Oryzias latipes: one gene and its partner. Each later gene encodes a partner of the first gene's protein in a complex. Links are inferred from orthologs where the notes say so. Each region holds a gene or a part of one and is shown in the gene's direction. Other genes may lie near its edges. The genes, in order: baz1a and chrac1.

Evidence for each region.
Region 2: baz1a (region 1) and chrac1 share a complex: the UniProt entries of both Homo sapiens proteins name them as parts of the CHRAC ISWI chromatin remodeling complex. The link is inferred for Oryzias latipes from reciprocal best matches to the Homo sapiens genes BAZ1A and CHRAC1.

Annotation. Positions count from the first base shown.
Region 1 is NC_019880.2:2,513,257-2,517,075, reverse strand, and holds part of baz1a (bromodomain adjacent to zinc finger domain protein 1A), read left to right. Parts: intron 1-156; coding exon 157-336; intron 337-475; coding exon 476-574; intron 575-1,849; coding exon 1,850-1,937; intron 1,938-2,014; coding exon 2,015-2,140; intron 2,141-3,693; coding exon 3,694-3,819. UniProt on the Homo sapiens protein: Regulatory subunit of the ATP-dependent ACF-1 and ACF-5 ISWI chromatin remodeling complexes, which form ordered nucleosome arrays on chromatin and slide edge- and center-positioned histone octamers away from their original location on the DNA template to facilitate access to DNA during DNA-templated processes such as DNA replication, transcription, and repair.
Region 2 is NC_019869.2:23,126,459-23,130,985, forward strand, and holds chrac1 (chromatin accessibility complex protein 1), read left to right. Parts: upstream 1-1,557; 5' UTR 1,558-1,644; coding exon 1,645-1,797; intron 1,798-1,876; coding exon 1,877-2,003; intron 2,004-3,611; coding exon 3,612-3,691; 3' UTR 3,692-4,366; downstream 4,367-4,527. UniProt on the Homo sapiens protein: Forms a complex with DNA polymerase epsilon subunit POLE3 and binds naked DNA, which is then incorporated into chromatin, aided by the nucleosome remodeling activity of ISWI/SNF2H and ACF1.

The DNA of each region.
Region 1 (3,819 bases):
GGTTTGTGACTGAAAATTATAAAGAAATTGGTGTTCTTGTTCTTTAATCTTTGTGTTTTTGGGAAAACTTTTTTTTTTTTTGTTTGTTCTTGTTGTGGTTGGTAGTTTGACCTCCGAAACCTCGGCACCGACACCGAACTGAATCTTGTGTTCCAGGCACATGTGTGAGATCCTGGAGGTGCACTCGCCTTACTCCAGCGCCAACGGAGTGGCGCCCACCAACGGAGCAACGGGCACCAACGGCCACACCGACCCATCTCAGGTGGACACCATCGTCATCAGTGACAGCGATGAGGAGGACGACGCCTTCCAGAGTCCCGTCGTACACGTCAAAGGGTCAGTCAGGCAGATTCTGTGCTGCTATAAAACTCTAAAACCAGCTTTGAAAAATAAATGTTCCTCCTTATTTGAGTTTCGGTTAATGAAATGAGAATCAGATGCTGGTTTGAGTTTGAACTCTGCGTTTGTTTTCCAGGAAAAAAAAGCCTTTGAGTCCTTCTGTGTTCAAATACACCGTGAGGATGATGAGTGACAAACACAGCGAGCCGTTCACCGTCAAAGCCAATCAGATCAGGTGAGGAGCTTCACCTGGAGTTTGTTCTGCCGGTTCAGAGAGGTTCTGTGACCACCGATCCAAATGCAAACTAGGGTTTGCAGTCTGAATGGTCTGGTTTTTGGTAGGCCTGGGCGAAAAATCGATTGGATGAATTAATTAGAATATTTTGTTACAGGCGATTTAAAAAAACAAAAAAAACAACGAAAAACTCAATCGACTCCTGCTGCTTCATCACCGCGATGATCAAAAATCCCACACCGTCACAGCTCAAGTTAAGATCTTGTGGGACACATTTGCAAATGGTACCCATATATACCGTGGAGAAGACGAGGGTTATTAGTTTAATTAAAACCTTAGCCCCCAGATATGAATTGTATTGTTTTAGAAAATGGTGCTACTCTCAAGGTGAATGTTTGTCTCCTTTTAGTCTAGACTACAAAGTGTGACTCAAAACACAGCTGGGACTTTGTTTCCTAGAGTGTGATCATTTTAGTATTCATCCCAGAAATGGGGGCTACATTTGTCTTGCGTTTGATTACATAAAAGCAAAATTTGCTTTAACTTAAGTTGTCTGTCGTTTGTACTTGTTGCTTTCCTTAAGTGGGAAGAATCGGAAATCGAATTTAAAAAAATAAAATCTGAGATCTTATGTTTAGGCCATATCGCCCAGCGCTAGTTTCCAGCTGGTTTAGCGTGTTTCACTGATAAACTGGAGCACTGATGCTTTGGTGTCGGGCTGCAGACGCTCCCTCTAAAATCCAGAGTTTGTTTAGTTTTTTCACGTTGGATAAAAATACGACAAACGTATTCTCCTGAAGAAAACGGAACAAAAGAAGCAAAACCTCAGTTTGTTGTGCAGCAACCGTTAAATGATGTTGCTGGAGTTTTTTTTTTCCTGCTTGTTTTTACTATGAACTGGAGTGAGTGACTCCTCCCCCCGTGGCGTTCCAAACAGGAAGTACGTGCTGAAACAGCTGTGGAGCAGAATAACAATTCTTGCTCTGATACCTTTCTATCAACACGTTCTTGATTATCCTCCTTTTTTCATGATATTTTATTCCGTAGTTTAAGTCATTCCAGTTATAAATTGACCAATCAGATAACTCAAAAGTCCAAAATCCAAAACTAAAAACGACGACAGAATTGACTTAATTTCTATGGATGACATCACACTCGCTCGCCCAAAGTCTCAGATGCAGTCGAGGGTTTTCGCCGGCCTTTTCTCTGAGTTCTTTTGTTAAAATTTAACGCCCCGGTCAAAGTTGCCTGCTGACCTTCATCCCCGTCTTTCAGTCGCAGGAAGTCCACTCTGTCCAGAGAGAAGCTGAAGCTGCTCTACAAGCAGCACTGCGAGCCTCAGAGGGGCTTCATCATCCTCAAGGTGAGGTCAGAGGTCAGGACGGTGACCCGTCGAACCGTCAGAACAGCGGTTCTGAGTGATGTGTCCTCCCGTCTCAGGCCTCCACCGTTAAGAAGTACCAGCTCTCCGAACAGACCTTCTCCCAGTTCTTCCCCGATGAGCCCCCCCAGGTCCCGTTCAGCTCTCCCTCCTCCAACGGTGGAGTGTGCGCCTCACCTGGACAGGTACGCGCACATCCAGATTTGTTCTTTCTATGTCTTGTTGAAGAAATGCAAATGTTTGGAATTTAAAAAATGGATTTAAAAAAAGCAACCTTGATTCATCAAACGAATGAGGTGATTCTTCTGAAAAATGTTATTTTTGACAAACAAAAAATGTTTTGCACATAGTTATTATATTCTTAAAGTCTTGATTGTTCAGTTAAATATGATATTTATGTAAAACCTTATTTTCATAAGCTAAACTTTATTTTGTAATTAAATGTGACAAAGTTTAATTGACTTCAGGATCATATCAAATTGTAAACTTGTGAATTTTGTTTTTTAGCAGCGATGAGTAATTGTTCATTATTAGTTAATGATCCGGTTTCAGCAGAATGGCTGAAACAGAAAGAGAAGCGAAGAAAAGTGATTTTTATCCGAGCTGCAAACTCTTCTTCCTCATTTCAGCTCGGGTGATTGTGGGGGATTGAACCTTTGTGTTTCTTCATCCACCGTCTGCTTCTTCTTCTTGTTGTTTTGCAGCAGAATTATCACGGTTCTGCTCAAACCTGCAGGTCGATGCTCCTCAAACGTTCCATGCAGCAGTAGTGGGGGGGGCTTTAAAGTTTGTTAGGTTCCACAAAATGCAACAAAATAAATATCCAAATGAAGATCAGTGTTTGATGGTCAAAGCGACTTCCTCACAGTTTTTGACGGAACTCTGCCGGCAGGTGGTTCCAAACCCAGATCTTCTGTGGATGTAGACGTTGACGGATCCTTCTGTGATGCCATTTCTGTGGGGAAATGGCATCACTTCCAGAACTTTAGTATGAAGATGGTCCTTAACGACTTCGGCTGGATGTTTGGAATACATTTAGGGCCAGTCTTTACCTCTGTGATGACGGTGCATGACGGGTAAACTGTGTTTTCTCAGCGTGGAGAACTCCTCTTCCATGTATGGAAACGCAAACCTCCAGCGTGCTTCAAGGTTTCCTTCAGAGACTCATTATGGTTCTTCTGTTGAAGAAAAAGCTTCCTTCCGTTTGCATCTCTTCCGTGTCCAGGCCTCTCTTAGCAGTAGATGGGTGAAATTTGGGTTTCACTGGTTTCTGCCAGTTCTGAGCTGATGAGCTTCATGTGTCTTTCATCTTCTGCACAAAGTCTCCTTGGCCAACCACAGCGTCTGCAATCCTCAATGTTTCTTTGTGCTTCTTCAGAAGACCGTGAACATCTGGAAACTCCAGTCTGCTTTGAGATCTTTGTCTGATAGAGACTTAGCTGATGCAGAAGAGCGACCTCCTGTGCTTCATCTCTGCTTTGTGACGTTAGTTTTTACAGAAAGTGTCGCCGTTCTTCATCCCAAAGCATGAGGACCTTAGTTCAGATTCTGATTTTTCAAGAGGTTCGGGTTTTAACTGTGATATCAGAGCAAATGTAAATGTTCTTTCTGGACTTATCTGTCAAATTTGTCTCTTTCTCTCCAAAACATCATCTTTAAATAGTTGAAACTTACTGATATCCCTTCAGTTTAAATGACCGTAAAGGAGGAGAACTTATGCTGATCTTTGTGTTTGCAGGCGAGTCTGTCGCCTCTTCAGGCTATGGAGGAGAAGCTGAAGCTGCTGCAGAAGAGGGAGGAGATGGCTGCTGCTCAGGACAGAGCTCGACTGAAGAAGGAGCGAGAGGGGGCACAGGAGGCCAAG
Region 2 (4,527 bases), on another chromosome or scaffold:
CCATATCAAGATGCTGATTAGACAGCATGATTATTCCACAGGTGTGCCTTAGACTGGCCACAAGAAAAGGCCACTCTGAAATCTTCAGTTGTATCACACAGCACAATGCCACAGATGTCGCAAGTCTTGAGGGAGCGTGCAATTGGCATGCTGATAGCAGGAATGTCCACCAGAGCTGTTTCTGTTGCACATCCAACCGGCCTCACAACCGCAGACCACGTGTAACCACACCAGCCCAAGACCTCCACATCCAGCATGTCCACCTCCAAGATCGTCTGAGACCAGCCACTCGGACAGCTGCTGAAACAATCGGTTTGCATAACCACAGAATTTCTGCACAAACTGTCAGAAACCGTCTCAGGGAACCTCATCTGCATGCTTGTCGTCTTCATCGAGGTCTCGACCTCACTCCAGTTCGTTGTCGTAACCGACTTAAGTGGGCAAAAGCTCACATGCGATGGCGTCTGATGGCATTTTGAATGCACAGAGATACCGTGACGAGATCCTGGGGCCCATTGTTGTGCCGTATATCCAACAACATCACCTCATGTTGCAGCATGATAATGCACGGCCCCATGTTGCAAAGATCTGTACACAATTCTTGGAAGCTGAAAACATCCCAGTTCTTGCATGGCTAGCATACTCGCCGGACATGTCACCCATTGAGCATGTTTGGGATGCTCTGGATCGGCGTATACGACAGCGTGTTCCAGTTCCTGCCAATATCCAGCAACTTCGCACAGCCATTGAAGAAGAGTGGACCAACATTCCACAGGCCACAATAGACAACCTGATCAACTCTATGCGAAGGAGGTGTGTCGCACTTCATGAGGCAAATGGTGGTCACACCAGAGACTGACTGGTTGTCTGAGTCCCCTCAATAAAACAAAACTGAAGATTTCAGAGTGGCCTTTCCTTGTGGCCAGTCTAAGGCACACCTGTGCAATAATCATGCTGTCTAATCAGTATCTTGTTATGGCACACCTGTGAGGTGGGAAGGATTGTCTTGGCAAAGGAGAAGTGCTCATCACTATCACAGATTTAGACAGATTTGTGAACAATATTTCAGAGAACTGGTTATTTTGTGTATGTGGAAAATGTTTCACATCTTTGAGTTCATACCATTAAAAAATGGGAGCAATAACAAAAGTGTTGCGTTTATATTTTTGGTCAGTTATTCTGATGGCGGTTTCCATGGCAACACCGTACAAATTTCTGAATCAGCTCAACATCATCCCTAAATGTAATCAGTTTGCCAAAGAAAGTCTTAAATCATTTTTCTATGGTAGTTGTTTATTATACAAACTAGGCATTAGAAGGAAGAAAATTAGGAAAATTCCTTTGGGAGCTTCAGTGGTGTAAACACAAGAGCTTAACAGGTGTTTATTAAGTAGTGCTTTATACCACTTGAAGTCTAGTATCAAAGCGCAATAGAAATATTAATGAGCTACATTGTTGTTTTTACAATCCATGATTTAAAAAAAAGAAAAAGAAAAAAGTTTGACTCCACTCCATTCCAGTAGATGGCGCTATATCATCTGAAAAGCTGACAAACACCAAATGAACACGAGGAAGAAACCAGCAGCGTATCCACAACAATAGTTGTGGTTCTGCTTGTCTGTGTCGCGCAACAGCTTCGTAAAAATGTCGCAAAACCGTCCAGAAAAAGACGACCCCGCGTTAGACGCTAAAAAGACAATCTCTCTGCCCATCTCTAGAGTCCGGTTGATCATGAAAAGCTCTCCAGATGTCTCCAGCATCAACCAAGACGCTCTCTTTCTCACCACCAAGGCTACAGTAAGCTGCAGTTTCATGCTAGCTCCGTTCATTCGAGTGTCTAGCATCGTTAGCATTTCTCTTGGTTGTGTTGTTGCAGGAGCTGTTCGTCCAGCACCTGGCTCGGTCCTCGTTCAATAACGGCTGTGGGAAGGAATCGAACTCGCTGTCATACAGCGACCTGGCGAAAACCGCAGAAGAGACCGAGACTTTCCACTTTCTCACAGGTGAGACACCAACCTTCCATCCCTTTGTATTGAGTTATTCTTAAAGTGTTGGAAACCCATACACGATGCCATATTGAAGAAGATGCGTTTGTGTGTCAGTCTAAAAGTTGGACTTTTACAATACCTCCCAAAACTTCACTTTTAAAGCTAAACAGCTTACATTAACTGCACACCTCACATAACAGCTCATATAAACATTTCAACAATGATTCAATTCATATCATAATAAGTGGTTCGTAGTGGATATTGGTTCATTTTGAACAATCCGGTTCATTGACTTCTTTAGCCAAATCTTCAACCAGTGTGACTCGGCGATGTAGTTTTACAGATTCCTTGTATTTCTTGCAAGGTAATCAAGTATTATAAATTACATATGTGATTAAACAAAGAAGTAAACAAGAATTAAGGGCAAATCCATTCACATTTTTTCCCTAAAGTTCTGCCCACTGTTGTTTTTCCACATCAAAATAATACATTATTAGAACATCATACCATTCTGTATGGCCACACATCTTTGCAAAAATCAAATTGTTTCCACACATTGGACTGTAATGATTGCTTGATCATTTCCAACAATCCACTCAGTCATTTTTACATTATATGATAATGTAAAATCCAAATGGTATTTTCCAATACCAGTATATTATCAATTTATTTTATTTTAAAATTATTTTATAATGGCATAGATCAATTCGCTTAACCACCTGCCCCAGATGCATCAATCTGGTTGGATCATAGGAAGATAAATGGATTTATCTATAAAGTCAATTAATCGTTAATTGTCTTAGTTGTTACTGACTTATTTTGAGCTTCAGGTAACCACAGGTGCATAATTGGCAGCACCTGTGGTTATTGGTCTTGCTTAATGACACGTTGGTTTCTGTTGTAATCATTTGAACAGATCTGTTGATTGTTGAGATCATGCAAGAGGGCAACTTGAAGCTTTTTTTCCTCTATAAAAAAAACAACAAAACAAAAACAAGCCCGGAACCATCTCCAAACTAAAGGTCAAGTTTGATAGGACTAGAGATGTCAGAGACAGGCTGCAAAGCAGGTCAACCAAGATGGCAGTTATAAGACTTTTGTTTAGTAAACCAGTCAATTAGTAAATCTACAAAACACAAATGTCCTCATTTCTGTGCTAGTTTATATCTTCTTTGAACTCATGACAATATAAAATAATTTTTCAAGAACTTTACCCCCCTAACTGACTAGGACATTTTTAATGTGAAATCCTAATAAAACATTACAGAAACTTATTAAAGCTAAGATAGTATACCTTTTGTTAAGTTAATAATTGATATTCTAGGGGGGGGGGTATTAAAGTTTAATCCTGTATTACACTACTCATGTCTTAGGGGTATCCACAGTTTGGACAGGGTTTCTAAGCCATTAATAACTGCATTATGGGTGGGAACAGAATCCCTATTTGTAATTAAGTACAGATAATCACAAAACACTGAGTCTTTGCTTTTTTCTCAAATGGTGCATATTCTTCCATGTGTAGGGAGCTAATGGCTTGGAAGGCATTCGGCTTTTACCCTAGAAGGATGGGTAATGAAGGTGTTAACATGTGGATTTTAACTTTTTTTCTCTCTTATTTGACAGATATTTTGCCCAAGAAGATCTTGGCTCGGGATTACTTGAAGTCTTTGGAACAGATGCAAGAGGAAGATGCGGATTTATAGGAATAAGCTAATCTGTTTGAATATTTTTTTACTCAAAAGGGGCTTTCCCAAAGACATTTACTGCTTTTAAGTAAGATCAGCTCATGTGTTGTTGTTTTTTTTTGTTGGAAATAATATTAAACTAAGATAATTCTAAGATTAGAAATGAAGACTTTCAATTATAGATGCCACACAATGTCTTTTAAGAATGGCTGAAATTAATTTAAGCAAATGTTACTATTCACACTGTTCAGCGTCAGACAAATCTACTTGGCTGTAAGTTTACGGTTTTAGCAAAGATTATTTTATTTGGCTTTGATAGTTGGCTTCATATTTTCTACCGTGCTTTAGTAAAATATGTACATGGACTTGAAGTGAAACTTGGAAATCCATTACACACAATTGCGGCAAAAACATTCGCTACCACCTTAAAACACAACTCCACAAATGCTTTGTTGTCCAGCATTAATGTCCTGTTCTAAGACGTAATCTGACATGACTTAACCACCTATAAGACGACGTGGTTATGGTAACAAATGTCTGCATATTGTAGAAGAAGCTGAAGATGTGTCCCAAACCCCATCAGTAGATGGGGAATATTTTTATCTTAAAAACATCCCCTATGTATATTCATTTTTTAAAATAAAACCCCACTTTTTTCATGTCCAAGTGACTCATAAAAATTTTCTGAATGTTGAGAAATTGTTTGTATTCAATTTTGAGGATACAATAATGTCACTGTCAGCTGTAAATTACATCTTTATTTATATTTCTCAGAAAAAAAGAAAAAAAATCTACATATGTACATAAAAAGGAAAAGAATTGAACTTTTTTTCTTTTATTTTTTCTCTTTTCAG